Linked DNA regions of Mus musculus. The protein of the gene in region 6 interacts with the protein of the main gene of each other region in a biochemical or structural test. Links are inferred from orthologs where the notes say so. Each region holds a gene or a part of one and is shown on either strand. Other genes may lie near its edges.

The links.
Region 1: the proteins of Nedd4 (region 6) and Rapgef2 form a complex in vitro, tested with the Homo sapiens proteins (2 studies listed by BioGRID and IntAct). The link is inferred for Mus musculus from reciprocal best matches to the Homo sapiens genes NEDD4 and RAPGEF2.
Region 2: the proteins of Nedd4 (region 6) and Plk1 form a complex in vitro, tested with the Homo sapiens proteins (2 studies listed by BioGRID, with this or other methods). The link is inferred for Mus musculus from reciprocal best matches to the Homo sapiens genes NEDD4 and PLK1.
Region 3: the proteins of Nedd4 (region 6) and Ube2d1 form a complex in vitro, tested with the Homo sapiens proteins (14 studies listed by BioGRID). The link is inferred for Mus musculus from reciprocal best matches to the Homo sapiens genes NEDD4 and UBE2D1.
Region 4: of the proteins of Nedd4 (region 6) and Ntrk1, one has a biochemical effect on the other in vitro, tested with the Homo sapiens proteins (3 studies listed by BioGRID, with this or other methods). The link is inferred for Mus musculus from reciprocal best matches to the Homo sapiens genes NEDD4 and NTRK1.
Region 5: the proteins of Nedd4 (region 6) and Gabarapl1 form a complex in vitro, tested with the Homo sapiens proteins (2 studies listed by BioGRID and IntAct). The link is inferred for Mus musculus from reciprocal best matches to the Homo sapiens genes NEDD4 and GABARAPL1.
Region 7: the proteins of Nedd4 (region 6) and Scn5a form a complex in vitro, tested with the Homo sapiens proteins (3 studies listed by BioGRID, with this or other methods). The link is inferred for Mus musculus from reciprocal best matches to the Homo sapiens genes NEDD4 and SCN5A.

The regions. Positions count from the first base shown.
Region 1 is NC_000069.6:79,142,556-79,147,183, reverse strand, and holds the start of Rapgef2 (rap guanine nucleotide exchange factor 2), read left to right. Parts: upstream 1-1,437; 5' UTR 1,438-2,268; coding exon 2,269-2,328; intron 2,329-2,374; exon of another isoform or gene 2,375-4,628. UniProt on the Homo sapiens protein: Functions as a guanine nucleotide exchange factor (GEF), which activates Rap and Ras family of small GTPases by exchanging bound GDP for free GTP in a cAMP-dependent manner.
Region 2 is NC_000073.6:122,158,096-122,162,463, reverse strand, and holds the start of Plk1 (serine/threonine-protein kinase PLK1), read right to left. Parts: upstream 3,030-4,368; 5' UTR 2,922-3,029; coding exon 2,514-2,921; intron 1,929-2,513; coding exon 1,760-1,928; intron 958-1,759; coding exon 813-957; intron 72-812; coding exon 1-71. UniProt on the Homo sapiens protein: Serine/threonine-protein kinase that performs several important functions throughout M phase of the cell cycle, including the regulation of centrosome maturation and spindle assembly, the removal of cohesins from chromosome arms, the inactivation of anaphase-promoting complex/cyclosome (APC/C) inhibitors, and the regulation of mitotic exit and cytokinesis.
Region 3 is NC_000076.6:71,282,312-71,286,742, forward strand, and holds the start of Ube2d1 (ubiquitin-conjugating enzyme E2 D1), read right to left. Parts: upstream 2,952-4,431; 5' UTR 2,814-2,951; coding exon 2,790-2,813; intron 1-2,789.
Region 4 is NC_000069.6:87,788,403-87,792,315, forward strand, and holds part of Ntrk1 (high affinity nerve growth factor receptor precursor), read right to left. Parts: intron 3,343-3,913; coding exon 3,268-3,342; intron 3,044-3,267; coding exon 2,972-3,043; intron 1,284-2,971; coding exon 1,215-1,283; intron 372-1,214; coding exon 220-371; intron 58-219; coding exon 1-57. UniProt on the Homo sapiens protein: Receptor tyrosine kinase involved in the development and the maturation of the central and peripheral nervous systems through regulation of proliferation, differentiation and survival of sympathetic and nervous neurons.
Region 5 is NC_000072.6:129,531,936-129,536,280, forward strand, and holds the start of Gabarapl1 (gamma-aminobutyric acid receptor-associated protein-like 1), read left to right. Parts: upstream 1-1,256; 5' UTR 1,257-1,511; coding exon 1,512-1,601; intron 1,602-4,345. UniProt on the Homo sapiens protein: Ubiquitin-like modifier that increases cell-surface expression of kappa-type opioid receptor through facilitating anterograde intracellular trafficking of the receptor. Involved in formation of autophagosomal vacuoles.
Region 6 is NC_000075.6:72,691,756-72,696,430, reverse strand, and holds the start of Nedd4 (E3 ubiquitin-protein ligase NEDD4), read right to left. Parts: upstream 3,134-4,675; 5' UTR 2,993-3,133; coding exon 1,565-2,992; intron 1-1,564. UniProt on the Homo sapiens protein: E3 ubiquitin-protein ligase which accepts ubiquitin from an E2 ubiquitin-conjugating enzyme in the form of a thioester and then directly transfers the ubiquitin to targeted substrates. Specifically ubiquitinates 'Lys-63' in target proteins.
Region 7 is NC_000075.6:119,492,788-119,496,700, forward strand, and holds part of Scn5a (sodium channel protein type 5 subunit alpha), read right to left. Parts: intron 3,002-3,913; coding exon 2,720-3,001; intron 328-2,719; coding exon 274-327; intron 1-273. UniProt on the Homo sapiens protein: Pore-forming subunit of Nav1.5, a voltage-gated sodium (Nav) channel that directly mediates the depolarizing phase of action potentials in excitable membranes.

The DNA.
Region 1 (4,628 bases), on a different chromosome or scaffold from region 6:
GTACCAGATCCAAGCGGCTTTTTATCTGCATAACATACAGGATGGAAAAACAGGGAAAGTCGAAAATGAGGAATTCTTGCAAGATTTGGTTGTGAAGTGTGGGAAGAGAATGTCTGTAGACATAGGAAATTGTGTCTAAGGAGGAATCTAGTTTAATTTTGCCTTTGAGGTAGGAGAGGCACGGACGTTTAAAAGTTGACAGGGCAGATCTTTGGTTGGGAGCAGTATGTTCAAATCTGTGGCGATTAGGTAATGAGTAATGTAAGAAGTGTAAGAAGTGGGTGGGAGGCAGGGAGAAGAATCTCCCATCATGATTGGAAAGAATAATTGCCTTTTGTTACGGAGGGGAAGAGAGAAGAGGATGGATACGGTCTTCAGATAGACAAGAGACCCAGTAGGAATCCCTGACAGTGCCAAAGGCCACTGTAAGAGATGACATGTTTTCCATAACTGCTTTCTGTCCTCTCTTCCATTCAAAAGTGTAGCTGCTTGTGAGAGCTGATGGAAGTGTCTTTATTCCTCGTCAGCTGTAATGCAGCCTCCTCCCAGGTAACCTGTGTGCGTAGGTGAAATTAAGACCGTGGGAGAATAACATTTCTTCATTAATTTCAGTTCCACCTCTAGAAGTTTGGTTTGTTTAAAAAAAAAAACAACCCAGGTGGTTTATTATAATATTATTGACACGACCATATGTGCATCTGTGCGTGCGTGCGTGTGTGTGTGTGTGTGTGTGTGTGTGTGTATATGTGTGTGTGTGTGTGTGTGTGTGTGATTTCATCTTCTAAATTTAACAAAGCTTGCTAAGCCTGCATTTTATAAATTTTAAGACAGTCTTATTTACTATGGCACAATAATACTTGAGGGTGGGGCAGAGGTCACATTGATTCCTTTCTCCCCACCTTGGTTAAAAAAAAATTCATATTTTAGTTCAAAGCTGTTCAAGTAAGTCCTTGCTCCGTTTTCCCACCCTGTCTTCAGTGATATTATTTGGAGTCAGCAATCAATGGATTCCATCCCTCTGAGACTTGCTTAACCTACAGCCGCTGATATAATACAGGCAAGAGCTTGTTACTTTATCTGAATTGTCCATCGCTACCTTAATGAGTGAAATGGTTAAGTAGAGGAGGGGGCGAGCCTTAAGGAACGTGTGTACCGTTTGAGCTGAATATTTCAGCGTATATGGGGAGAGGGAGGGAGAGAGAGAAACCCACTTACATCACTAGAACCTCAGCGAGTGTGAGGCTTGCAGGTTAAGAGACAGACTACAGTGTCTTGCTTTCTGCGGGAAGCAGCAATGCCGTTTGTTTCCTAAGAGGGATTTTTTTTTATTTAGAAAAGGAAGCTTTCTCTACCCAGGAAATGGCTTTCCTTGTGCGTTGCTATGCCAACTGCCTGCAGCCATGGTCCTCCAAAGTAAGCACAATAATGTAATTATATTGGTGTATTGCATTCAGACTCATGATTCTTGAGATTGTGTGTGTGTGTGTGTGTGTGTGTGTGTGTGTGCATGTTCCATGTTTCTGTCAGTGACTCCGGCTAGCAGGCATGCTTGTGTTGAGTGTGAGGGACAGACATCATTAAATTAAATGTCCATCAGTGTCATACTGCTGAGATTAATTGTGTAAACTTGGTTAGTGGAGTGGGACAGAGATCACTGGTCACCACTGTCAGCATCATTAGCAGCTAGGGAGGAGGTCCTGATTCACACGCTCTGCCCTGATTTTTTTTTCTCTTCCTCTCTTTTTTTTCCTTGGTTGGAGGGGTCTGTATGTGTGATTGCAAATGAAACAAGAGTGTTAACAATGCTTGGCTGAATGCTAGAGACTAGCTTTTCACCACCCTGGCTAATATAATTCTGTATTAAGCCTTTTGGAGGGGAGTCTGTGTGCAGTCAGCCATTTTAGCTTTTTTTTCCCCCCTTTTCTTTTGCCTCTTGTTCTTCAGCCTCAGAAATGATCTCGTTCTATCAGAAGCCTGAAGGCTGGGTGAGGTTCCCTCAGCCTTGTCAGAGCCTCCGAGGGTTAGAGTTTCAGTGTGATAAAAATGGAGCCGAGCCCTGTCGTTCAGATTCCTTTTCTGTCTACAAGTGTGAAGGGTTTTTAGGCTCACCAGTAGTGACACTTTAAGCTGCAGCCTGGTTTTCCCTCCTCCCTCTTTTTTTTTTTCCTCCCCTCTTTTTCTTTTAATTTCATGCTGTAGAGGGTGACTTGCCGTCGTGAGAGGTTGGTACATGATGTGTAAATTCAGTTCAGCATATGTTTCTTCATTATGAAACCACTGGCCGCGCCTGCTAACCATGGAGTTCTGGGCCAGCAGGAGAAGCAGTCTGTAAGTATCCAGGCGCTGCCGGCATCGTGGGCTGCCTGGCTGGGGGGCAGGCGATGTGGGGAGCAGGCAGGGAGTTCTTTTCCATGGAGCGTTGCTCTTCTCCAGGGGAAGCAGTGTTTTAGAGGGTAGAGAGAGATCCTCTGCTCAGAGGAGGGAGGGAAGGAGGGAGGGAGGGTGAGCTACAGCTCACTCATTCTTCCGATTTTCTGTGATTTCTGAAAATCTTAAGCAAGACCAACAGTTCATTTAAACAGGACCACTAACATTGAGAAATACTAGACAGCTAATTATTATTTTTTTTTGTCATTAGAAAATAATATAGTTTTCAGTAAATGCCCAAGCAGTTTGAGAAACCAGTTTTGGTTGAATTTAGTGAATCATTATAAGAGGTTCTGGCCCATGGGAATCTGGCAAGGAATGCACGTGGAGGTGGGTGGGAGGGTGGGGGCTCTGGCTATTGATTTGGCAATGAAACCATCGGTGGTACACTTCTGACTCCTTAACATTTGTTAATTGGTGGTGAAAGCACACTGTATTGTTTTAGTGCCACAGGAAAGATTACTGCTCCTTTGTAATTGGTCCCATGAGTCAGCTGTGCGATTGTCTTGCTGAAATCCCACAGGCAACAACTGCTATTTGTGAGAAACATATTTCTGTGTCTAACTCCAGGTCAGAGCCTCCTGTTCCGGGAATATGTGCACTCCTGTAGTGCGACTTTTGTGTCACCATGTTACAAGTTTTTTGCCGTTTTGCCAGTTCATGATATTGACATATATATGTGTGCATATGTATGTATGTGAACACATATATGTATATGTATGTGTATGTACATACACACATATATGTTATTCTCCTTATAATGTGCTCAGATTTAGGTGGGTGTATAAGCATTTTAGAACTGTCTCCTTACATATCCTAGACCTGTACATTATGATATAGGAGTTAGTTTTAATTTATTGTAAGAATTGATGCAGTAGTGTTGAACTTTAAAAATACTTATAAACCACTAAAGCCTTGGAAATGAGTAAGTAGGATGCCATGGATTAGAGTATTTGGTTTCGGTTTTGTCATCAGTAAGTGATGAGCTCTTCCGTTGGGTGCAGGGAAGTTCCTTAGATGCAGTGACCCTGAGGAGGTGAATGAGCCTCCCTGGCAAATTCCAGTTCCGTGCCTTGTCCAGCCCTATCCTGGTCGGGTTCTAGGTGTGTTTCCTTGATGAAATCTCTTCAGACCTAATCTAGAAAAGAGCCACCATATGCCTCATTTTCCAAAAGAAAGGTTGTCAAGCAGAACTCGCACTGGAGTCTGATTTTAGTGCAGGTCTTTGGCGCCCAGCTCCATGGAGTTAGTTAGAGCTTCCAAGGAAAGAGTAGAGTGCCTCTTAATCTGCACTCGAGCGAGGCGGCTGCAGAGATTTAGCTCAGAGGCTCAGAGGCTCACCGTGCACCTTTCTCATGTAACCGTTCCCCAAGTGGGAAGGGGTAGCATTTAAATTCCTAATACACGTTTAACAATGAGAATTATTAAAACCATTGATGGGTCAGGGAAGCGACACGTGGATTTTGTGAGATGCTAGAGCTGTTGGAATGGAGAGCACTAAGCGCTGCCCATCGACCAGGAGGCAGTGCTTTGTGCCAGACTTGAGTTTGTTTCCTAATAACTACTTCACATTCTCACCAGACAAATGAAGTGTTAGGATTTGCACCCAGAGCTCAGAGTGCAGGGCATGGGCAGCTTGGGATTCTGCGGTCTGGCTGCTGGCCGTCGTCCAGTTCATTCTGACTGACATGTGTCACTTGGCCGTCGGAAGGGGGAAAACAGCTCAGGTCCTCAGGCAGTGGTGGGTCAGCCCATGGTGATAACTGCAGTGGATAAGCCTTTTTTTTTTCCCTCCTATAATGCTGTATCATAAAAATGTCACAGCTGACTTCAGTTGAGTCACTTCTACCAAATTCAAAAATATTTTAGGTTTTGCTTCTCTGTACAGTCTGGCCCCACCCCCCACGGGACTGTAGAAGGAAGGATGGTACCGAGACAGTGAAAACCTTGTTTGAGGGACTCAGTTACCGTGCTTTGTAAGGGTCTTCCACATCATACAGGTTTTATTCTTTATTTCCTGCCTCACTCGGTGGACATCTCCGTTGCTTGGCCCAAAGTCGATGTATAGTGAACATTCTTAACATTCTCAGTGAATTGGCTTTTGGGCTTAGCGAAATCTTATTTAACCTTTTGAGCTTTTAAACCACTTGAATTTTGTGTATTTCCTCATCCCTAGCCCGTCTCTGTGGGGCCCATTGATA
Region 2 (4,368 bases), on a different chromosome or scaffold from region 6:
TCTTGATCCGGAGGTAGGTCTCTTTTAGGCACGAGGTCTCAAAGGGAGGCTTGCCCACTAGCAAGGTATACCTGGGGGTACAAGAAGGGATTTGTTGTTGTTGTTGTTGTTCAAACTCCAAGGGAAATCCAAATGCAGAAGTCATCGTCTGGGGACCGTAGGAAGGAAGGGAGCTGTGCTGGACTTACTGACTGGGAACGGACGGGGATGCTCTCCAAGTCAGTCCAGTGACACAGCAACCAAAGGCTGGGACAAGCCCTCAGAAGGATGCAAGTGACAACACCTGTGTACCAAGGGGCCAGGAATTGACGGCTCTGGCCTACAGTGACCGAGGACTCTCCCAGTGCCCCAGAGGCCACTGCTATCCACCACAGGCCACCGTGGTGGTTCTGCCTATCGCCAGGCTTTCTACTGGCCTAGTTCTCCCTTCAGCACTCAGCAGGACTTCCAATGCTCCATGGAAAGTCAGGCAGGGATTGTATTAAACCCAGGTTCAGATCTGAAATTCTGAATTCCTAACAAGCTCTCAGGTGTTGATGGTTTGGATCTGTGCATACTTTTAGTAAGCACCAAGGGCCAGGAGGAAAAGTTCAGGGACTTTTTGATCCCTTCCCTGGACCAACAAGTCAAGTTACAGGAATCCAACAGCCTACGCCAGACTGATATATGAAAAGCAGGGTTTCATGTGGGACAGCCTGTCCACTAAAACAGCCTTTCTATAAGGTAGAAAGATTCACATGGCAAAGTCAACTGGGTGAGAAGCCTCAGAAAGCCCTGCTGAGGCCCAGGAGCCAAGGCCATTGCCAACTTACATGATGCACCCAATGGACCACACATCCACCTCAAAACTGTGTCCCTTCTTGCTCAGCACCTCAGGAGCTATGTAGTTAGGAGTGCCACACAAGGTCTTCTTTCGTTCCCCTTCATATTCCACTTTGGTTGCCAAGCCAAAATCCCCTGGGACAGAGGAAAGAAGAGAGGGTGCTCAGCTGCTAAGCCCGGGCTGTCTGTGGTTGCAGGCAGCTCTGTTTTGATCCTGAGCATTGAGAACTAGTGGCTTGAGGCCCCAGAGTCCCTGAACCCTTCCACTGTACTGGCCCTAGCCAGCCTCCCACACACCTCTTTAGATAGCAGGGTTACGGTGGTTAAGGTGGCTCAGGAGGTAAAGGGGCTTGCTGCCAAGACTGATAACATGATCTACGTCGATCCTGGGACCCACACAGTGGAAAGAAAGAACTGACTCCTTGAAGTTAGCCTGTCTCCATTCATAAGTAAATGAAATTTAAAATGCACAGGATAGCAGAATTAGATGCACTGGGGAATCAAGTAGATGATCTTCGTGACTGCTGCTGGGCAAGTGTGTGGAGAAGTGACAGGGATCTAGGGACTGGCCAATCAGACTCAAGGGGGCAGGTTTTTCAGCTTAGTAAAGAGACACCTGAGGAGATGCTGCCTGCCATACTCTACAGCGTAAGTCCAGACCTGAAATTGGCTGAGGGTCTGGCTCAGTGCTAGGTTATAGAGAAGCATTTGGGGGAGGGGCCCCAAGTTCAAAACTACTGAGTTGAGGCATAAACACCAATGCATCTAAAAAAAAGGCAAGGAAAGTGTCACACACACACAAACACACACACACACACACACACACACACACACACTTTCCACTTCCTAACTAGAGGGCAGCATCTCTATTTCCTCACCTTCCCCTCCTTGTCCCCTCCTGCCCTGACACCAGACACCCGAAGGCCCAGCACCTCACCTATTTTCACCTCCAGATCCTCGTTCAGGAAGAGGTTGCCCAGCTTGAGGTCCCTGTGAATGACCTGATTGCGGTGCAGGTACTGGCAGCCCAGGACTATCTGTCGCAGGTAGTAGCGGGCCTCAGGCTCGGTCAGTGCCTTCCTCCTCTTGTGCAGCTCCAGGAGGGACTGAGGAGGGAGAAAGAGGTCACTGAAGTCCAAGAAGAGTGGCTAGCTGGATGTGGCTAGGACTAGACGCTCGGAGTGGAGAGTCTTAGCAGGTTTCTGATAGTTCTACCCATACACTGGTTGGTCACTATCATTCACCAGACCCTCTCCTGAGTCTTCTCTCAACCCCACTCTCGACTCCCCTACCCAGGGCTTCCTCCTGGCAGGAGATTCCCTCCCTTTCCTGAAAGCTCTAAAATCTGACTCCAAACAGCCGCCCCCTCCCCCGACCCTGCCCCACTCCGGAAGTTAGAGGTGCGTGGCACACCAAGCCTGGGACCCTTCCTTAGCCACTTTATGAATCCATTTCCTGTACCGACTCGCTGCCTTGCGTCTGGGAGCTCCATCCCTAATAGCAACAGGATCTGGTCTCGGTTTCCCCAGAACCCCGGCCTCAGCAGTTCGGAGTGCCAAGTACCCTCGCTAGAAGCCTTTCCATAAAAGTTTGAAACCCAACCACTCCTCTAGGTCACTCCAAAACCTCGGTGCCCCTTTGTCAGCAAGTTCCAGGTGTGGGAGCCCCAGCACTGCGACTGAAACACTCACCCTCCTGCGACAGAGCTCCAAAACTACAAATACAAAGTCGCTGTCCTCAAAAAAGTCATGGAAGCCTACGACGTGTTGGTGTGCTAGGCTGCGGTGAATTGAGATCTCCATAGACATCTTCTCCTTCTGGTGGGGCTTGAGCAGCAAAGACTTAGGCACGATCTTGCCTGCGAACACCTCTTTTGTGTCTGCGTCTGAGATCTCGAAGCATTTGGCGAAGCCTCCTTTACCCAGAAAGCGCCCCCGTACATACTGCCGCCGGCTGCGTGGGTCCACTAGGACCTCCGGAATTTCTTTCGCCAGCGGGGCGGCCACTGGGGCACCGGGAACTGCATCTCCCGGAACCCCACCTTTCCCGAGGTCGGCTGGTGCTCGAGCCAGCTTTCCAGCTTTGGCCGCTGCATTCATGATGCCGAAGTTGCTCCACGAACCTGGCTGAGTCGGTGCAGAGGGTCCTGCTCTGCTCCGCTCCTCCCCGAATTCAAACGCGGCGCTGGGAACGTTACAAGGGCCTGCGCGTTGCTGATTGGCCGCGGGGATTTAAAATACAAACCCGCCCAGCGCGCGGCACCATGGGAGTGCTCTACGGCGCAGCCGCCTTTAAACTCCGATCTTGCCGGCGAAATTTTTAATGGGCAGGGACTGGAGGACTGCGTTTGCTCAGGATTGCCTGGGAAACCAGGAACGAAGCAACTACGTGAAGATCCCTAGAAGAACAGGATTCTGTCCTGCTTTCTGCTCCTCGGCTGGGGCGTGCTCATGTGGTTCACCTGCGCCTCCTCCAGGGGCTTCTCCTAACTGTTAAGATCTAACACCTTCCTCCACCGGACCCGGCCTTCTAGAACTGAAACTCCAGGCCAACCGGTAGCTTGAGAGTGCACCGCCTCCGCGGTGGACAGCCCTCTCCCCGGCTAGCCTAAATAAACCCAAAACTGAGCAAGCTCAGCAGGCAGATGCACCTTCACGGCGCAACGGACCGATCTCCTCTGTGGCACTAGGGGCTCCCAGCCCCTGAGAAGTAACTCAACCCTTCTCTTGAACAACGCAGGAGGCCAGCAGCATCTGCAGCACCTGGAATTCCCTAAGAAGGCAAAGGAGGGGCGTGGGTTCAGGATTACAAGTTAGCCGAGATCAGCCTCAGCTACCGCTCCACTAACCCCAAAGGAAAGAAACTTCCCAGGCATGACCTGCCGGTCAAACAAGACCTTCAGATGATTCCTATGCCCTGTGATATGTAAGAAACACCGGACGTCTGCCCCGCGATGCAAGGTTACCTGGGTTGTTCCAAGTTGTGTGGCCCAGAGCCCCAAATAGAAAAAATTAATTTTTTAGTCAGAGGTGGGGGGGTAGCTGGTTAGAAGAGTGCTAGCATGCCGGTATACCAAGGCCAAGTCTGCCCTGCCGAAGTGTCCGTTCAGCCTTCACTTAGGAAAAAAAAAAAATGAGCCGGGGCGTAATGGCACACACCTTTAATCCCAGCACTGGGGAGGCAGGCGGATTTCTGAGTTCAAGGCCAGCCTGGTCTACAAAGTGAGTTCCAGGACAGCCAGAGCTATACAGAGAAACCCTGTCTCGAAAAAAAAAAAAAAATGGATTTACAACATGTAAAAAGAGTGGCCACACAGAGCAGGCGTGTGGCTTTTCATAGAAAAAAACGGCCAGCTCTGGTCACTGTTCCCAGACACCCTCTTTGCCCCCCTGCCTATCTGGGCACTTAAGTGATACCTTCCGTTAGAAGCTGTTGTTGCTCTAGTTCCCCCAGGAGGGTCTTAGCAAGATCCAATTGCTGGATTGAGCAAAAAATGGCAGTGCTGCTGTCTTTCCCAGTCTCTGGGTAACGATTGTACTTTCTGAA
Region 3 (4,431 bases), on a different chromosome or scaffold from region 6:
TTTGTAGAAAGACAGTTTTAATCCAACATCATCTTTGTTCTTTTCATAGGTGGAGAAATGAGAAGCTGTGACCATTATTCTCAAATGTGCCAAATCACTTCTCAAGAGATTAAGCCTGGGAAAAACTCGTCCCAACTCCCGCCTCAGGTTCCCTCTTTGAATAAAGAGAACAGAGGAGAACATCAGGGCTTTTGACCTTTCCATGTTAACCCCACCTCAACCTGGAGGTTCAGCATCTTTCCACTGGCAGCCCTGGGCTCTGCTGTGACTCTGCTCCCTGCCCTAGGGACTGTCTCTTTGCCTGCACTCTTGGCTACACCACTGCAAACCTGGAGTTCTATGAGCTTTGAGGCCTGATACTTTAGGTAAAGAAATAGCACTGCCCAATGGCCTGAAGTTTTCTGATTGCTTTAAAAGATACTCAAAAGAAGAAGATGGAGGAGGAAGAAGAGGAGGAGGGGGGTAGGGGCTTGAGAAATGGCTCAGCAGTGAAGAACATTTATTACTCCTCCAGAGGACCCAAGTTCAATTCCCAGCACTCACACTAGACAGCTCACATCACATCCGCCAATGGCTCTGGCATCAGGATACCTGATTGTCCTCTCTTCCTTCTTCTAGCCTCTGTGGCCACCCTCACACATGTGGCACGTACTCACAGATACGCACACTAAAAATAAATCTTTTTTTTTTTTAAGGCCAAAGGTGAGCATTGAACTCAACATTTGAACGTGATTCAAATGAGAATCTGAACACAGGATGTCAGAGGGCACTGTAGCTGCCCCCGGTGCAGCCTGTCCACCCTAGACTTGGTTCTAAGCAAGATGACAGGCAAGGAAGGAAGAAAACGGGAGAATCAGCTGGTGGGGGGTGGGGGGGAAGGGGTGGCTGGCTTGTATGACTGATGTGATTTGTGGCAGTCAATGACAGGACTATAGGATCATGTGACCTCTGGTGTCTTCTCCAAAATACCAGTTTGTCACAGATTCCCCATCAGCTGTATTTAAGGTTATCTTCATACTAGACAACTCTGTTTAACACACAGTATCTACTAAACAAAAGAAAGGAAGGAAGGAAGAGAGAAAGAAGATGTGGAAATTTGCCATATTAACATAAGTCAAATACACAGGCTTAGCATGAGCAACAAGATGCATCAAGCCTACACATAAAATAATGTCTTATTTCTCTGGATGGATATATACTATAGATAACTCCTTTGGTATCTAAGAGCTACTGTGTGTGTGTGAGAGAGAGAGAGAAAGAGAGAGAGACAGACAGACAGACAGAGACAGAGAGAGACAGAGAGAGAGAAGAGGAGTGCAAAGCCACATGGAAATGCTTCACCATCATGAAAGGAAGCAAAGTTTGAAAACTTCCAAATGGGAACCAACAGTAGATTGGTCGGCGTTCAGAAATCGGCACGGTAATGACGATTGCAGCTTCAAAATTAAGCTTGTTTATATGGTTAAAAATAAAGTGCCACCGTGTTATCTTCAAACGAGAAAACGTCATTATTTAATAAACGCTGATCTTAACATTTTATACCGAGTTGACCTTCAGCGGCACAAAGAACAGCGATGATCTACACAGCTAAGGTTTATTAAAAAAAAAAAAAAAAAACAAAAACAAAACAAAAACAAAAACAAATAAACAAAAAACAAACGAAAATTTGGCTGCGGGTAAAAGTTGCTGTCCTCAGTACCGAAAGATGCCTGTTTCCTACCACTCTAACTCAGAACATTTTCAGTCAAGTGTAGCTGGAAAGGTTGATAAAACGTTTGGGGAGCCAACCATTTCTTGTGAAATCAATTACCAAACACATTATCCACTGTTGGCGCATTTGCTTCTAAAGCGATCCCAAACACCACGTTCCCAGCAGCAAGGACTACCGCTGTAAAATGTTAAAAGATACTTGAGATAGGGGACAGGCCAACAAGAGAAGTGGGTGCGGTAAAGAATACAAAGAGAGGGTTGGAACCGATCCTATGTAAGGACTGACTGTCCCTTCGATTGTCTTCCTCATTCTCTATTCACACATCAAAGCATCCAAACAATTTAATTTGTGGTCCTTAGTGTTGTGTCTTCAACTCTACATCTAAGTTTATCGTGAGGGTGTGAAGAAAAAAATACAAAACAAAACCAACAACCTGCTTAGCTTACCTAGCCATGAATCACAGCCAGGAGCTCATCTTGCTGTGTATCAGCAACTATGTTCTCAGTACAGCTATGTGACCTGAAGTGGCAGCTGCGTGCAGAACCACCAAAATAGCAGGGGCAAGAGCTCTCTGCTGGCTCCTCGGCCCCAATCTCGCGTTCCCAGCCCTTTCCTCCCACTGAGCACCAGCCGACTGCAGAGCCCAGAAAGACCCAGCCCCACGCTCTGAGAATAAAGGCCGTAGGCCCACCACACCTTCCCTGCCCTCTCGGGGAACCCGGGGTGCGAACACAGCAAGGAGGGCTCCGGGGACATTGTGAGGACGCACAGCGGGATAGGGGACGAAGGCCGCCCGTTGCAGAGCAAGCCCCGGCCCAGCGGGGATGCACACACCCCGGGACAATCTGGCCACCCCACGGGCACCCGCACCCGAGGTTCTAGGCTCATCCTGGAAAGGGCACGACCGGATCGGGTCGCCCCGAGGTTCCAAGTACCCAGACCTTGCGGATGCACGCCTCACCTGTGCGGGCCGATCCGTACCCCGGCCTCCCCAGTGTCCGCGCCCCTCCCACACCGTGCGCCCCGGGTTCCTGGGGACATCTTGGGGACACCCAGGCCGGTTCTGGCAGCCACTCACTTTCTGGATCCGCTTCAGCGCCATGGGGCAGGCGGCGGGGGCTGCGGAGTGTCCGCGTGTCCCGGGCTGCCGCCTCGCAGGGCTGCTCCGTGTGCGCCCGGGCGCGGTGCGCGAGTGTGCGGGCGGCGGCGCCGGACTCTTTTGTTTCCGCCTTCGCTTGCTGGGAAGGAGCCTGCGCCCTCCCCGCCGCGCCCCGCCCGCCTGGCACACTGGGAAGTGTAGTCCCAGGCTCGGCCTCTGCCGCCCGCGCGGACGTCGTCCGGTCACCCGTGGGTGACAGCTGCGACCAGGCTGCTGCCGCTCCCTGCAGCCGCTCTGCAGAGCAAGGTCTCGAATCTGCAAAAACCCAGACAGCAGGTGAGCTGTCGCTCCTAGGAGCTGCTGTGAACCACGGCTCGCTCCTCCTCGCACAGACCCTGCGGCGGATCTTAACTTCCTTTGCAGATAATTCTGACTCTTCCCCGCTCGCCCCTGAGGGCGTGAGGAGTCTTCGTCAATTGTACTCCACCTTTCTTTCTTTCTTTCTTTCTTTCTTTCTTTCTTTCTTTCTTTCTTTCTTTCTTTCTTTCTTTCTTTCTTTCTTTCTTTCTTTCTTTCTTTCTTTCTTTCTTTCTTCCTTCCTTCCTTCCTTCCTTCCTTCCTTTCTTTCTTTCTTTTTTTTTTTTTGAAACAGGGTTTTCCTTTATGTCTTTTTGTCTCCACCTCCCAAAAACGGGATTGAAGACAGCTTTCCACACACCCAACCGTTACGTGGTCTCTGGCATCCGAACTCAGGTCCTCAGGCTTTGCGGCAAGCAGTTTACCCACTGAGGTGTCCTCCAGCCCCTTCTCAGTTCTTGTGATCTCAGATCTTGCTTGTCCTTTCAACCATGACTTCTTGGCTTGGCACCTGCAGGTCAGTCTTGGATTTCTGACGGCGTTGGTCAGTCTTAGGTTTCTGATGACTAAAGTCAATCCATTCCTTATCTAAAATGGTTTTGAATCCCATATTGCTTCTCAAAACACTCAACGCTCACTGTCGCGGCTTCCACAGTGTCTCTGCAGCTGGATCAGCCACATCTGGGAAGTTCTCTTCTCCGCCTTTGCAGTGGTCCACAGAAGACCAGCCCCACGCCCTCTGCAGAAACTAGAGATGGGTTGCGGCCCAGAAAGCTTCGAGGGACTGTGCTTTGCAGAGGTCCCCTCAAGCAGTCCTGCTCTGTCTGCATATTGGTCTACTTTCCTGTCCATCCGCCCCCCCTCCCCTTGTGTGTGTGTGTGTGTGTTTGTGAAATTATTTCCCAGGAGCTGTACTCCTTGTTTTTTGAGACAGAGTCTCTCACAGGGACCTGGAGCTCACCTATTGGGCTAACCTGGCCAGGTATCTGCTGTCTTTACCTGCTCAGCACTGATTTTACACACAAGCCCCACCATGCCTACATTTATGCTTGCTTGTCAACACTTTATAGACATTGTCTTCCCACTTATTATTATTATTAATTATTATTACTGCTTTATCTCACCCCAAAAGAAGAGTGGCATTAATGCAATTCATCTTTTTAGCTAGAGACCAAACCATAAATCAACCCTTCTTGTGTCAGATCATGGAACTCAGGGTCTCATGCACACTAGAATAAGTACACAGCGAACCACTTTTCATTGA
Region 4 (3,913 bases), on a different chromosome or scaffold from region 6:
CGTCATCGCCCACTTCCACAGAGTCATTGGGCATCTGGATCTTCACTGTGGGTACACCTGCCACCCAGGGTACGGAGGGGCATTAGAACCTAAGTGTGGGCTGATGAACCCCACCCTGCTCGTGAGCCCCAATCTATGGACCCCAGCCTCCAGGGTCCATAGCCCCTGCCAATGCTACCCCAGGTCCCCCCAGGCTTCCCCCTCTACAACAACACCTACCACAACTGGTGTTGTGTCCCAGTGGGAGGAACTGGTCTCCAGGCCCAGAGTCATGAAGCGTCTGTGTATGCACACCACACAGCCCTTCCTGCTCCCAACGCTGGAGCCAGAACAGGGCACAGGAACAATGCAGTGGGTTCCCTGACAGGGTCCTGTTGGGTAGGGGGTGCTGAGAGTCAGGGAAAGAGGGTGCGACAGGTCTGAATGGCCAGGAGGCAGTGTTCTGGAGATGGCTGGCTACCAAGGGGTCTAGGCAAAAAGGGTGGGGTTTGGACCAGGCCCATAACCAACACAGTAACAAGACTTTAGTTACTTTAGTTAAGTAAGGGCAGACTGCTGTGGATGCCATCTGAGCATCGCATGGGACTCCTCTACCCCAGCTCTAGAGCGAGAAGCCAAGCAAGATGGGAGGAAGGGTGGGTCACCGTGGCACACAGGCCTTAGGTACCCATCACACACATGTGGACAAACATGATTGGAGGAAGGGTGGGTTGCCATGGCACACAGGCCTTAAGTACCCATCACACACAGACAGACAAGCATGATGGCAGGAAGGGCAGGTCACCATGGCCCACAGGCCTTAGGTACCCATCACACACATATGGACTATTCTATGTATCTCCCTTCCAGTGTGTGTGTGCTCTGGGAATGGGGCTGCTATCCTCAAGCATCAGGATGGCCAGAGTCTGTTCAACACAGCCCTGAACCTCTGGACACACACATGCTACTCATCCATATAGACTGCTCAGACCAGACCAGACCAGGATAGTCCTGCAGGCTCTACTTGGATGGGGGTGGGAGGGGCGTGGCTGACAGGCATGCACATAATTGCCAGTATAAGCTCCCAGACACAACACAGTCTCCAGAGATGCCCCACCTCCCACCCCTCCTCTGTTCCACAGAGACACAGTTGCATATAGCCCCAGGGACATGATCATGCACAGCCACACATCACACACACTGGCCCCTTGCCTTGCCCCTGCCCACACACTCACAGGTCCTGTAGGGAGAGGCCCTGCACAGTTTTCCAGGAGAGGGACTCCAACGCATTGGAGGACAGATTCCTGTAGGAGAACAGATGCCCTGAGCCAGCGACCTTACTCTGACCCAGTCTGAGGCAGAAGTCCAAAGGAGACCTCTATCCACCCCGTCCCCAGGCAAGTCAACTTGAACATCGTGCTACGCCTGAGGATGTGTGGGAATGTGGGAATGGGGTAGGCAGGTAAGTCTTTCAGAGTACAGACTTCTCCTTGGGACAACAAGGGTTAATCCCAGTTAACCCCCTCCCCGACCCCAGGGAGAGGGATCCAAGGGAACAGCCGGTTGCCCTGCCCCCACACCTCAGCCCCAGCTGGTGAAGTGCTGAGGCCACAGCTGGGGTAAGGGGCTCCATCTGTGCTCCCCACCAAGGAGGAGGGGAGGACCAAGGCTCTCACAACCTCCTCCCCCACCTAACCTCAAGACAGGGATGTCAAAGTACTTCCTCAGGCCCCCAGCCCTTCCTTCCTGTTCCTCTGAGAGAATTTCCAGTAGGCAGAAACCCAGGGACATAGTTCCCTAGGTGAAAATGAAGAGAGAGCCCAGACAGGGCTCTCTTCATGCCTCTAGGAAAAACTGTTTGAGGAACTCAGTGCCGACCATACACTGCTGCAGCTCCCTTGGGGGACCATGCCCTAATCACTCGCCTTGCCTACCCAGCCTTGACTTTATAAAGATGCAGGTCCTGGGACACCTGCAATACTGCCACCTGGGGTTGAGTGCTGCACCTGTCCAGCCATGTGGAGTCATGTGACCTCAGTCAAGAAACAGCTAATTCCCAGAATTTTCATCTATAAAATGGGGAGCATATTTTCTCTGTTTCCCCAGTTGCTCTCAAGTAGTCACTGCCATGAGAGACGTGAACTGCCACCCAGCACACATTTTAAATTTCTTTTTAAGTTGTTGTGGTGTTGTGTTAAGACAAAAGGATGGCCTGGAACTTGCTGTGTAGCTAAGTATGACATGGAACGTCTGATCCTCCTGTCCCCACCTCCCCAGTGCTAATATTACAGGTATGTATCACCAAATTGGTTTATGTGGCTGTGGGGATCAAATCCAGAGCTTCATGGATAGTAGGCAAATATTCTACCAACTGAGCCACATCTCCAACCCTAGGTGGACATTTTAAAGTCAGGACATATACTGTGTAACACAACATCACTCTTGTTAAATCCCTGGATCCAAGTGAGAGTTTAAAGGACTCAGCCCAACTCTGTGAATGACAACCCAGGGAGGGACTACCAGGGACTCTAAGCGCATCTTCTACCCACTCCATGTCCCTCTGTCTTCTGAGAACAAGTAGCTGTAACTCTCAGGAATGGGGAGGGGGAGGAGTAGCAACCAGAACATACCACTTCCCACACTGGCCTTATGGACCAGCCCACAGTGCACCTCACAGCAGAGGAGACGAACTTCTGATCAGAACCAGTGGTCTTGCCCCTGCCCCTCACACCCTACCAACCCCAGGCAGAGAGCCCGGATGGGTACTTGTGAGAAGTGTCCCTGAGGCATGGATCATAGAAGCGAATCAACAAAGATTCCAGCCTGACTGGATGAGAATCAGAACACCGAAGCAGAAAGAAATGCCCTAAGGAAGGGAGACCAGGCTGGACCTTCCTCAGGACAGTTCCCTGGGGAGCGCAAAGCCCATTCACTGCCCCAGGCTGGAGGTCCTCCTCAGCCCCGCCCCCTCCAATCCAGCCTGGCCACTCACAGGTGACTGAGCCGAGGGGTGAAACGGAAGGCATCTGGGGCCACAAAGCGGAGGCCACTCTTCACGATGGTTCTAGGGAAGGGATGAGAGGAATTTAAGCTCTGCATTCTGCCCACCCAGGCCAGACACCTCTGTGGAGCTGGGCACCCCTCTCCATAAGTTACCTGGACCCCTCAAACCCCTGAGCCTTCCAGACCTCTCCCACTCTCTCCCATATCGGATTTCCAGATCCCGATATGTGTGGGCACCCACCACCCTGTGCCCAGTCCCACCCTGTGTCTACCCTTGGTCCTCACAGGCTTCTCAACTCCCCCAGGCCCTGCAGGTCCTCAAACTCCAAGCGTTGCAGGTGCTGCTGGTTTTCCACGTAGCTGCAAGAAGAGGGGAGAGGGGCGAGTCACCAGGGGAGAGGGGTGGGTCACCAGGGGAGAGGGGTGGGTCACCAGGGGAGAGGGGTGGGTCACCAGGGGAGAGGGGTGGGTCAACAGTGGTCAGGACCTCAGTGGAGTTACCCTGTGCCCACAACCAACCCCCCTCCCTCACATGAGCATATGCACCAATCATCACACACAGACCCACTTCACACACCCATTCATGCACATGCCCCCACATGCTGACATGACTCACAAGTCACGCATGTGCATGCATGCACGCATCCCCCCTCACCTTTACACACATGCAGCCTCTCACATGCCTCCTGCAACACAGAGGCAAGTGTACAGAAACACACAGGGGTGTCCTCAGACCCTTACTGGAGGACACACGTGAACAAAGCTCACATAGACTTCTCCCATGCACATATAGATGAGAAGATGTGAAGACATGTTAGTCAATGCCCACTGCCATTCTCAGCTTGGGGCTCCATTTTTATAGCAGGTTTCTCCAGCATATATATGCTCAATGATAGGAAATTATGCTGAGACTAGCCTCCACAAAGGACAA
Region 5 (4,345 bases), on a different chromosome or scaffold from region 6:
AAATGAGTAGCTGGGTATTAAACTATTTTTAATTTGAAAATAAAAACAACAATAAATAAATACAACAATATTATATACCAATTCATTTGTCTTCATATGTAAGAAAGATTACCAGGAGAAAACCAAGAAGTGGGCTATGTATTTCATGTTCTTGTTTTGCCAGTTAAATTCAGTTCACTTTATTTTGCCCATATTTTATAACCATATCACTAAGTCATGTACATAAAATCAGGCAACAGGGCTGCTTGCCTGGTACCACTTAGTAGTCATTTTATTTTCACAGCACAAAGCATCCTTGAACTTTATCTCCGATGTTCCCAAGATATAGGTCTGGAGTTACTGCCAGTAGAATCAGAAGGGTGACCCCGCATCCAAAGAGTCTTAAGATGGAAACCCGGTATGTCAGAGGGGCCTGGGCTGACTCTCTCTATACTATTGAGGGTCTTCCACCAGCATGCCAGTCAGAGCTTTTGGTGCCCAATAAGGCCTTTTCATCAGGACAACTACCCTACAGGTGATACCCACCCCAGAGCAAAGTATTGTTGGGGAAACATAGACACCTAAATGATTTGACCTCTGTATTTTCAAGAACTCAACAACCATGCTTCTGGGTGAACCTTATAAAATGAATGGATTCATCTCTCCTTGAACGTGAGTGAAGCCTGGTGTTCATCGCTGGCATCGCTTCTTCTAACCTTGATGACTTCATGTTCTTCACCCTTACACTTCTTCAAATCCATGAGTCATGCTCTGTTTATGTTGTCTCAGAACCAATTCTAGCACAGATCCAAACATAAGGACACCAGTCAGAAGGAGGAGTTGGGGCAGAGAAGGCAGGCCAGTCGTGGGTGCCAGGCAAAGGTCAAAATGCAAGCACAGGACATTTCAGCCCGGGCTACAAATCTCGTGACGCCTGGCACTTTTCCAACTCCAGACTCCTGATTCCATTGCTCTGGAAACAGCTGGATTTTCTTCCTCTGTGTTTGTTTTGGGCATCAAACAAGAAACTTGAAGGGGAGGGAAGACGACATTTGTTAGAGCATTCTTTGAATTAACAAATTACCTTTAATATCAATCCTCAAAAATAAAAACCCGACTACATGATTTTTGCGTTTCGATGGAGTGGTTTAGGAAAAGCTTGGGTGAAAAGAAGATACACAAATAAACAAAGCTTCTGTCCACCCGGATCCAGCAGGTCCTTAGCGCCGGGGGCGGAGCGGGGGTGGGGCGTCGTGATGTCACAGCACCGCCCTGGTGTTTTTGTGTTTCCAGCTCTTGGGAAAAGCCACCCTATTTCTTTACCTGGTGGTCCTTTACCTTCAGGCCGCGAGATCTCCAGGTCCTTCTCTGGACGTTTAGCCACGTAGTGCGGCGACTGGCGCGTGGGAGCTGACGCGGGTGGAGCGATTGTGATAAGGCTGACATTGACTGGGGGTGGCCAGACGCGAGACGCAGTCATCAGCGCGCGCAGCAGGCCCCGTCCGGGGAGCCCCTACATCCTGAGGTCCATCATGAAGTTCCAGTATAAGGAGGACCACCCCTTCGAGTATCGGAAAAAGGAAGGTGAAAAGATTAGGAAGAAATACCCGGACCGGGTGCCGGTGAGTGGGGGCGGGGAGGGAGAAGGCAAGCTTGAGGAGTTTGGGAGCTGGTTGCCCTGGAGCTACCGAGGTAGCCTGGCGATGGCGGGTGGCCCTGGCACAGGAGGGTCATCGGAATCAAGTATTCTTGACCGGCTTTGACAAGCTTGTATCCCCAGGGCCTGTAGCCACTTTTGGCATCTCGAAAGCGCAGCGTGCGCGTGGTGGGTGAGTCAGCAGGATTCAGCACCCATGGAGGTTGGGATGTGCGCGTGGCGAGGCCTGTGTGTGCGGGGGCGACTGGTTGGGGGCCGCAGATAGGATATGCTATAGAAAAACGCGTCCCAACCCTGTAGCAGCAGGTGAGATGAGCCTTGTGCCCATCCATGTCTGCTCAATTGGTTCTCCATGAAAACGAGTCTCCTTCCCATTTCCTTGAGCGTAGGAGGAAAAACTCGAGAAGCCCCTAGATTCTGACCTGCGTTTTTTTTTTTTTTTTTTTTTTAGAATTGGGGGTGGGGTGGGGTGAGGGGCTTCACCAGGCGGGCCCTCAAACAAGGTCATGCCTGCCTCCACCTCATTATTGTCTCCTGGGCCATGTGTGGAAAAAGAAGGTCCGTGCTCTGCACTGTGATAGGTGGGTGGGCTCTTGGATCTCAAGAACCAGTACTGAGAACCGTTTCCTCCATTAATTATACCCCGATTTAAGCAGCTAATACCTAGTTCATGCAGTGGGGAGAAAAATACTAAGGGAGTCTTCAGCATCCGGGTGTTTTCCACTTTACCCCCTCCCCCGCCCACTTGCCTTTTTTTTTTTCCTCCTCTTTTGAAGGCTGCGCAGCAGAATTGGAAGCAAAGGATGACATCGCTTTTAAATATGGTGGATAGAGGACCAGGGACTTTAAAAAATCGTTCTCTTTATTTGTACAGGCAATGATGTTATATTAGGTTGGCGTTCCTCTAACTTTGAAGGGTAAAAGAGCTGTGCTAACCTGATAATTTTTTTTTTTGATGCATAAGTAATAGGGGGGAGGGACTTCTTCCTTATTCTTTATCTCAGCCAGGGCTACCAGAAGAAACGGAGGTCCAGCAAGAGAAAGCCCTCAGCCCCATTTTCTACCCTCAGCCCCATTTTCTACCCTCAGCCCCATTTTCTATGAGGAAGAAGAGAGCTAACTATTCCACCATTCTCCAGAAATTACATATACATGGCTCTTCCAGAACGGCTGGGCACACTCCAGTCATGCCTTCCTACTACACAGTCCTTCACATGTTATTTCCTTGAGCTCAGGACTGTGGAGGATTGCTTTCAAAATTTCTCTCAGTTTGTCAGCCCCACTTAATATTTTAAAATTACACATGGACCACACAGCTGGCAGCACTCTGAATGCCTTGTCTGTGTACTCACCGACTCTCGTCACAGCATTAAAATCCCTGTGCTAGAGACATGCTCTGAAGCACAGGGCAGTGAAGTCACCACCCACAGGTTTGACATTGCTGACTGGTGGAGGAGAATTCCAGCCCTGGCTGTCATGCTTCAGGGCTTCCAGAGCCCTTGGGCTTCCAGAGTTTTGTTTTTGTTTTTGTTTTCCAGTTTGTAGTACAGTTAGATGAACGCCTTGTAAGGTTGAGCCCTAGAAGTAGGTTAACACCTGCTGCCATCTGGAGTTCAGGTGGTAGTTGGTGCCAGCCAGGAAACTTAAGTGAACACCTACCCCCATTATTCAGAACTTTAACAGAAATCCGAGCTGTGACCTGCAACTGTTTCCAAATTCAGCTAAAACCTCCGTCCTTCCTCAAGACAGAGCCCCCTCGCATTCAGTTGTGTACAGCACTCACCCACAATATTGCAGTTTCTCTGTATTCTCCTGTTTGTGACTTGATGCTGAATGTTTTACTTCAGTGATGATTTGTAAGCCAAGACACCTTCGCTTAGATCTCATGGATCCCTGGATTTCACACCCAGATGGTACCTCCCAATCTGAGAGGTTCTCAACCTCTCATCTGGTTGTGACATAGAACCCTGCTGAGATTTGTGTGGGGGTGGGAGTGGGGGCAACACTAAAATTGGAACCCTTTGCCTGGTGTCTTCTCCATGACTGGATTATAACAGGAGTTCTCCTGCCTTGGTCACAGGGCCGAATCTTCCTATGTTCAGGTATTTACAGGAAAGCCGCTAAGTTTCTAAGGCAGTCTGACTCACAACTTAAGCTTGGCCTCTTAAGAGGTGTGCGTGGGCCTTGGGAGAAGGGATCATGGGATCTTGAGATAACCGTGTGTTGGAGACCTGTAACAGCAGGAACTGTAGGACATACTATTTTTAAACATTTGTAAACATCCCTATGGTGTATGAGCCACTGCGACAGATGCAGAAAACAAGTCCCCTCTCCTTTTGGTTGGAGTTCCAGGACTCAAGAGTTCCTGTGGTGAATACCAGGGCTCCCTGTTTCCTGTGCTCTGTTTGTAACCTGCCTCTTTCCTTCCTCTTTTTTGGTCTATTTCTTTTCAAGTTCTTTTCTATTTCCCTTGAAGCTTTGGATTCACGTCTGTCTACCCAAGCATTTTCTTGTACTTGTTTGTATGGTATCTGGGGGTGGACAGGTATGTGGCTTGATGAAGAAGCTCGAAAAGGTCGGAAACACACTGACAGACACTCAGCTTCTAGGGATACTTGTCCAGTGTTGTTTCTGCTTCTTTGCTTTTGTGTATTTCCCATTTCTTATCTCTAAGATGAGATTTTCAAAACAAAGAATCTAATGTTAATA
Region 6 (4,675 bases):
CACAGTAGACAGTAAATATAACTTATGTCACTTATACTATTTTTATGTTTAATACATGTTGAAGAACAATTTAAAGTTCTCAGACAAATAGCACCTTCTGTATTTTTTTACAACTAAGAGACTAGGATTAGGTTGTTACAAAGCAGTAATTGTTAGTTTGCTAGAAAATTTAAAGGCCTGTGAAAACATTCTTAGCGATGCAAACAGCATTGAGTTTATATACTTCACTGGGTGTATTTAAAGTACCTCTTTGGAAAGCATCAGTGGCAAATGATAGTGCTGCCACAGTAACGACTGTCTCTGGACTATTTCTAGAATTCTTTTCAGATTCATAACTTCTTAGGTTTCTTTGAATGTAGACTCTGTGAGTAACATCGACTGAATTGGCAGAGTACTAATGCTGCTTTAAGGACCCAGCACTTTGGGGAAGAGAATTAAACCGATTATAATGTTCCAAAAACTGTTTTAGAAAAATTTTGCAAGTGGAATGAATAACTCTAAAACAAAGATCAAACTTTGAAATCTAATCTTCTCTTATCCCCAGTGAAGTAGCTGCGTAGATTAACCTTGGGTGGACACAATGATTATATTTTCCAGATTTCAAAAGAGAGAAAAAAGAGCCCAATTACCTAATTTTCTAACTCCATCTGTCTAGACATTATCTGGATTCCCCCCACACTCCTCCAACATTTAATACAGGCATTGCCATGAAAAGAAGCAAGGTCCCTTCACAAGAAAGAAATAGAGCACGCCAGCCAGCATATGTGTTGTCAATCTAGAGCTAATGTCGTCAGAAAAACAATTAAATTTCCTGGAATTTTGCAAAACCTTCCAAATACAGACATGGTAAAGGCTACTTTAGTTTTAAAGATTGTAAATAATTTGAAAAGGCCAAATTACATAAAATGCCAATCTGGCTAAGATCTGTTAGAGCTAAATTACTAATAAAATAAAGCAACATTGTGAGAACAATAAACTAGTGTAGTAAATTGAAAATTATAGAAACTACCTAGTACGTTTAAGCCAATTCAAACACATAAAACTTAGAAATCAATACTGCTGAAAAAGTGAGTTACATTTTGGGAGACAGCGATCACTGGGAACTCAGGAAAAATAGGGTGCAAACAGCATTCCTGTGGCTAGGGTGTATGTAAATGCAAAGCCCACTTACTTTTCCTCTGCTTGAAACATTCAATATAATAGTCTTTTTGATCAGCGATCTTACAAATACATGTGTTTTAAGAGGGAGAAGAAAATCCCATTTCTGAAGGTAAGAAGAACAAATATCCCAAGATCGAGTGTTATGACATCGAGCCAGTTCTGGAAGAATTTTAGGATTTAAATCACCAAGGAAAGGTTTTTTTGGTTTTTTTTTTGTTTGTTTGTTTTAAAAGTAGTTTATCCATTGGTAAAATAAGAAAGAGCTTTACAAATATAAAATTGAAGCTTTCTAAAAACTTCCTCACTAAGGGCCACAGAAAGGAACAGATAGTGCTATAATCAAGTATAATCAGTATAGCTAAGAATTCCAGGAAGTATTTTTTCAAGACCAGAGGAATCTTACCTTACAAACATCAGACAGTTCATTTGTCAAGTCTCTCTGTCTCCAGAAACTATCAACTTTACCATCATTCCCAGATGCAAACTTAATGAGCAACTGAGATGGTCCCCCCTTTGAACAATTGTGCTTCAGGCTGGATAAGCAGGAAATATTTGGGTATGTCCCACCCAGCGAAACACTTCTTTGCAAAGCAGCATGGCCTTTGCTTATCGGTGAATTTGGTCTTTCCAACTCTCCACGGATGTTTAAATGGTAACCCATGTCTGATGCGGTTGGCAAGCAAGGGGATGCCCTCTGTTTGAGCATGCCATGGTCCAAATCAGACTGCAGCTGAAGTTCTAACCTCTCTGATGTGCAGCCACCACGGGGGTTTGCACAATCTGATGTCGTTGGTTTTTGTTGGGTCAAGTGCACGGAAACACAGGAAAATCCTTCTGGCAACTTCTCACACACAGTTTGTTTGGGCCTATTATTTGAAATGACAATTTTCTTTTGCAATGAGCCCTTGGCATGGAGTGGCCGTACATCTCTGACTTCTCCAGGAGTACAAACCATTTTAGATAATCGAAGCCCGTTGACAGCTGTTGACAGAAAGCCTTTGGTGCCAGATCCATCTTCATGATGTGCAGTTTCAGTAGGTGATACAACCAACTGGTGTGAGGTCTGGTAGGCACCTCTGCTCGTCGGGGATGCTGGTGGGGTGTTTGAAGGACTCCTGGGGAAAATGACCAAAGACGTGCAGCGCTTCAGTGGACCCTTTGCGTTCCTACTCACTGGCAGTTTCATAATCTCTACTCCACGATCCAGGTCCTCCTGGGCAAAGGGAAGTCTACTGGGACTTCCGCACATAACTTCACGGGGTGTAGTGTCGACTGGCACGCTTCTGTTGGAGGCGTTGTCAGAAGGTAAATTTCCACTGAAAAAGGTCTCATAGCCACTACTGTCGCTGACACCACTGCCGGTGGAGGAGCCTCCACTTGCGAGGCTTGCACAAGACCCACAGTCACTGCCACTGCTGCTGTAAGACCCACTGTCACTGGCTGAGAAGTTACTGAGGCTGCCATTGTCCAGCTCACTGTCAATTCCACTGCTGCTGCAAACATCATCCTTTGAAGCACAGGTAGAGGAAGTACTGTCCCTATCAGCCACGACAGTGTCAGATGGAAGACACCCTCCGTATCTGGGCTGCAGTGAGATCTGCAGGCAGCTGCTCTTTTTGTCAGTACTTTCAGAGGATCTATGCTCTACCCACGGAGCCTGTGGCGCCTGTCTGGGGGTCAGCCTCATTTGAACCACACTAGCCACTGAGATCCGGGGCCGCCTCTGGCCGTGTGTGTCAACGTGGCTATCCAAGTCATCTCCAGAGGGTTCCGACAGAGGGTAAGTCTTGCTTCTTCTGGCGGCAAAGTGCAGTCGTAAACTCTGTGCCATTTGTTCTCATTTCCAAGCATGTTCAGGGCTGAGAGTCAAAACAAAGAGCTCTGTCTGTAGTCAGGCTAGCGCAGCTGTGCTGCATCCAGAGGAAAAAACCATCGGCGGTGTTGAAAAAGCTCGTGGGGAGGCGTCTTTAACTTCAGATACCAGATTTCATAGAAAAGGACGACCCATGCCCGAGATTGACGTTCCCCAAGTGTCTAGAATCGCCGGGAGTCAGAACGCCTTCACTGACAAAGCACTTGATTTCCAGCGACCTTTAAGCTGAGCTCAGCTGCAGCCCTGACTCAAACACAGCCAACCTTGTTTCAATTATACCTTCGCCAATTTGCATGAATGAGTAACGCAAGAACAACAAGCTTCTTCAATTTCAACTGGGAAACCTAGTTTTTCACCCCAGCCCTACAAAACGAACATTTAACTCCCGAAATCTCAGTGCCTACAACTTCCCCCGGTGATCCTCACCGCTAATATTTTCACTGAATGCTATAGGATTACAGGAAATGGGTACAAATAAAACCTGTGTGATTGAGTATCAAATTAAAGATTGAATTTCAAAATATGGCCATACTGAGAGATTTAGTCAGGTTTAATGCAGGGACTACGCGGACTGTAATATTTTTTCAGGAATGAGTAAATGAAAACAGCTGAATAACTTGGAAATACAAAAACGTGGGGTGAGGGGCATAAAGCCTAACCGTCAAATTGAACAAGGTAAATATTTTAGCAAAACACAATTATGAAAGTGAAAGTTGACAAACTGAACTACAAAACGAGCCCAGTAACATTGTTGTAAACACCAAATAACCTCCTCAAGGGGAAATTTTTAAAAAAAGGCTGAGGAGAAGCTGTCACCAACCATTTTGTCCTGTAATTTTAACGTTTAATGCAGCCAAGTAGTACAGTCTTTAAATGATGCCATTTATATTTTGACTATTAAAATCCTGCCAAGAAATAGCCTGGGTAAACATTCCATTAAAAACATATGCAGATTAGACAGAAAAGCTACACCCCAATATAGTCTGAACACATTGGATATTTTATTCCACTGTGTGCAATTCATTCACTTAAAGAGAGTGTTGTGGTAAGTAAAGAAGCCTAAAAAGGATTTAACACATCAAATAAACATATCTCAATGGCAATCCTGTTCTCGGAGAGTCCTCTGCGGGCCCTACTGGTGCTTTAAAACAACCCAGGCAGCTGTTAGACACCTATAAAGACAAGACATACAAACCAGGCCACATATTTCATAATATAAACAAGGCAGGCCCTTGTTTACATCTTTGCCCACTAGCATGGCCTCTGAGGTAGAATTACGAGTACTGATAAAACTCTCACAGCAGAGAACAGTAGACGGCTTGTCCTTCAGAGGTGGTGATTCTCTGTATATATAGATATATATTTCTGATTTATGTTTACATAACCTTTACTGTATTTTCAGCTTACTCGGCAATAAAGGCTTAATATTTTAATTTCTCTCCCAAATGTCACAGACCAAGGTTGGTATTCTATTTGAAAGAAGCAAATTTATTTTTAAATAATACTCTAGGGTATATTTAAACCCCTTACCTGAATTTTATAGCAAGAACTCCAGCAATAAGTATATACTGGCCCATTCATAGCAAAATAGTTGAGTTATTTACACTACATGGCACTACACCCAAGCTGTATTTTTTCTAA
Region 7 (3,913 bases), about 47 Mb from region 6:
AAGTTGAACCTTAGGCATGCTCTGTTCCATCCACAGGCTGGGCTTTCAGGCCGGGCGGCCAGGAGGCCCACATACTGGTTTTGTTGTGGGCTACACACACATAGACACACACATGCACACGCATGCACACACGCATGCACACATGCATGCACTTGATGGCCTCACTACAGCCACCACCCCCCCCACACACACACCAACCCCACTGTGGCCCCATCCCTCCCACCTGGGTGACCGCCCTGCCTGGCTTCTCCCACACAGCTGGTGGCAACCTACCCCTCTGGAGTCCACAGCCGCATACATGATGTCCATCCAGCCTTTAAATGTCGCCTGTGAGGAAGAGACCATGAAGGTCATCAGATTTGGTGATCTGCTTCAGCTACAAAGAACTCCCATCTCAATTAGGCCAGGATCAGCCTCCTACAAGAAGCAAGCAGGCCCCAGCCCACCTGTTCAGTAGTGCTCAAAAGGCTGGGTGGCCTAGGGGAAGGCCTCAGGTAGGGGCTGGGGATGGAGGAGAAACACCATGAAGGCCATGTTAGCCTTCTCAGTTGAGGCCTCTTGTCTGGTAAGGCTAGGAGATGGTTCACTGCTCAAAAACATACATTTCAGACTCTAGACCCCAAGGCTGGTCTGTGTCCTGCCGCTCAGAGGACCAGCATCTTGCCTGTAATGACAGATCCTTTCTACCACTGTTCCGGTGAGGGACTAACAACTCGCTCTCCGGAAGGAAAAGAAAAATCCCTACTGTATTTGCCGATTTCTCTGATGTAAATGTTCCCAGCGCCGTGCTGTGACCGATGGGAAGAGAGGCAAGACCCACAGTGTTAACGCGCACACAGCACAGACGGCAGCCCCCCGGGCGGTAAAAAAGCACGCCAGGCTCATGTGTTTTAGCATCACTTAGTCATAAAGTTTGGTTTTCTCGTAAAGGTTGTGTTCAACAACCAGCTTGTATCATGTCTGCAAATGTGACCCTCAAGTCCAGTGAGCCGGCATCAGCAGAACCTAGCACACCTCACAAGGCTGCGGCCGAGAGGGAAGGAGGCTGCGTGAAGGAGTGGGGGCTCTGGCATTGGCTCTTCATCGTCTGTACAGTTGGGGCCCACTGTGAGAATTCAAAAGGAGCTCAGGAGACATTCGTGGTGGTGAGACCAACTTTCCAGGGGAGTCCCACTGGGTCCCCAGCAAAACCTAACCCTTCCCCAGGCCTCCCCTGGAGCCACAAGCTTGGTTCTGCCTACGCTCCCCCTCTCTCTTATTTTAAGGTTTATTTTTATATTTGCACACGTGTATGTCTGTGTTGGGGGTCTGCGCATGTACATAGGGGTACCGTACCCTCAGGCCAGAAGAGGGTGTTGGGTCCCCTGGAGTTGGAGCTAAAGGTAGCTTGGCGCTGTCTGACATGGGTACTGGGGACTTAATTCGGTGTTCTGGAAGAGCAGGAAGCACTCTCAGCTGCTGAGGCATCTCTCTAGTCCCACTAGTATTCTGTGTCTAAGCGTTCTCCCCCAACCTTCAGACAGGGTTTCTCTGTGTAGCCCTGGCTGTCCTGGAACTCGCTCTGTAGACCAGGCTGGCCTTGATCTCAGAGATCCTGCCTGCCTCTGCCTCCTGAGTGCTGGGATTAAAGGCAGGTGCCAACACCACCTGGCTAAGAGTTCTTTAATTTTTTTTTTTTGTTACTAAAGAGTAGTGTGTGTGTGTGTGTGTGTGTGTGTGTGTGTGTGCGTGTGCATGTGCGTGTAGGCCAGAGGTCAGTATCAGGCATCTTCTTCAATGGTTTTTCACGTTATTTTATTACATTTATGTGTCTGAGTGTGTACATGTGTGTTTACCATACCATTCATGTGGAGGTCAGAGGGCAACTTGCAGGAGTTGGCTCTCTCCTCCCACCGTGTGGGCACCAGGGATTGAACTCGGTCCCTAGGCTTGGTGGCAGCTGCTTCACCAGGCCTCTGTCAGCAAACTTTCACTGAATCTGGAGCTGGCTGGTCTGGCTAGTCTGGCTGGCCCGCAAACCCCGGGGCTCGTCCTGTAGTTACCTCCCTAGTGCTGTGCTTAGGGGCATGTGCCACTACAACTGGCTTATGATGTGGGTGTCTGGGATCTGAACTCAGATCCTCGGTTTGTGTGGCAAGCCCTTTACTGACTGAGCTGTGTAGGTTGATTTTTACGGCAGGTGTTATAACTACTAAACCATCCTGCCCATAAAGTAAATGGACAGTCAAGAGGACCGGCACATCAAAGATGAAAGCAGACATGCTCCTTTTGGGGGTCAAGGTGCGGTCTGAGGATTCAGGGCCGTGCAGGTGGTAGGCAAGTGCTGTACCCCTGAATCATATCCCCATCCCAAATGTAGTCTTTTAAGCAGCCTGAGACATTTTATGACAGAGGGTGGTCAGTTATAATTTCACCAACAGTTCAGTGTCTGGGCAGTTGGCAGTCTTTTGTATCTAGCCTGTGCCACCTAAAGAGGTCAACTCAATTGATGGCTGGGAACTGGTCCTATCTCATGCTGCCTTGCCCCCAGGCCAGTCACCCTGGACGATGTGTCCAATCTATAACTGAGAGTCTGAGGACTTGGCACAGAGCCACTACCCTGGGCCCTGTTACCCTACTGCAGGGACCACCTGGCCTGCTCCTGCCCATGCCAGGGTGAAGGGCAGATATCTGAAGCACCAATGGAGGAAGGGAGGGATCCCTGTTCTTCCGTACTCACCACCTGCAGCAGGGCCAGGTACCCAGCCCCCACGTTGTCAAAGTTGACTTTCACCTTGGTCCAGTACAACTCTCCAGTCACGTTGAAGGACTCACACTCGCTCTTGTTGTTCACAATGGTGTAGTTCAGAGGCAGGTCCCCTTCGGTCTGGTTGATGCACCTACCGAACTTCCCGGCGAAGAGGTTCACGCCCATGATGCTGAAGATGAGCCAGAAGATGAGGCAGACGAGGAGGACATTCATGATGGAGGGGATGGCGCCCACCAGCGCGTTGACCACCACCTGTGTGTGGGCAGAAGGAGACTTAGTTCTTGAGGCTGCCAAGAACATATGCCCTTTTCAAGACTTCGACCCCACTGCGTGGTGGCCACAGGTGGCTGTGGGGGTGCAGGTGGGGTGAGGATCTTCCAGTCATGAAGGCTAGAGCTCTGGTATCAAGTGAGGGAGTCAGAGAAAATCAAGAGGCCTTTTTTATCCTCTCCCTAAACGCTGAGGTAACTCCAGAACGCACCAACCTTCCCCCTTCCAGGCCCCCAATTTTCATAAAAATGGGGTCTCTACTTGCTAGTCAAAGCTGCCAGGATTGTCCTCGCATTGGGGTAGGGCAGGCTTAGACACAACCGAAGGCTTTAGGCCCTGTGTCAGTCCTGCACGTCCTGAATTCTCTGTGCCAAACTTCTGGTTTATTTCAGGGTGGCTGTGACAGGGAGAGGATGGTTCCCCTGAGGTATATCCAGGAAACCCATGCGCTGTGTCTGCAGGCTGTGGCTCCTGAGCCTCCATACGGTGGCTTCCTGACAGATACATCTGGGGAACTCCGGTCCAAGCATGGTCCAAGCCTGGCTGTCTATCACACAGATGGGGCTGAAGCTGGGCGGATTCTGTTATGGCACAGAGGGTCCGCTGCTGAGATGGGGGGATGACGTTCTGAAGCAGACAGCACAGCCCTGGAATTGGTGGGAAACCGTGCTCCCGAGTGCTCCCCAGGGCATCGAGCTTTCTGTGTAGTTTGCCCTTGGCTGGCACTGAAGCCAGCAGCCACATCAGAGGCATTCCTGGCACCTGGCATCAGTGTGTCCCTCTGGAATCAAGTGTCCTTGGCTCCCAAAGAGACGTTTAACTCTGGTCCCATCACTCCCTTGTGGGTGGGAGTTCCTGCCAGGACTAAGTCTAATTGGTGGTGCAGGTAAGGTT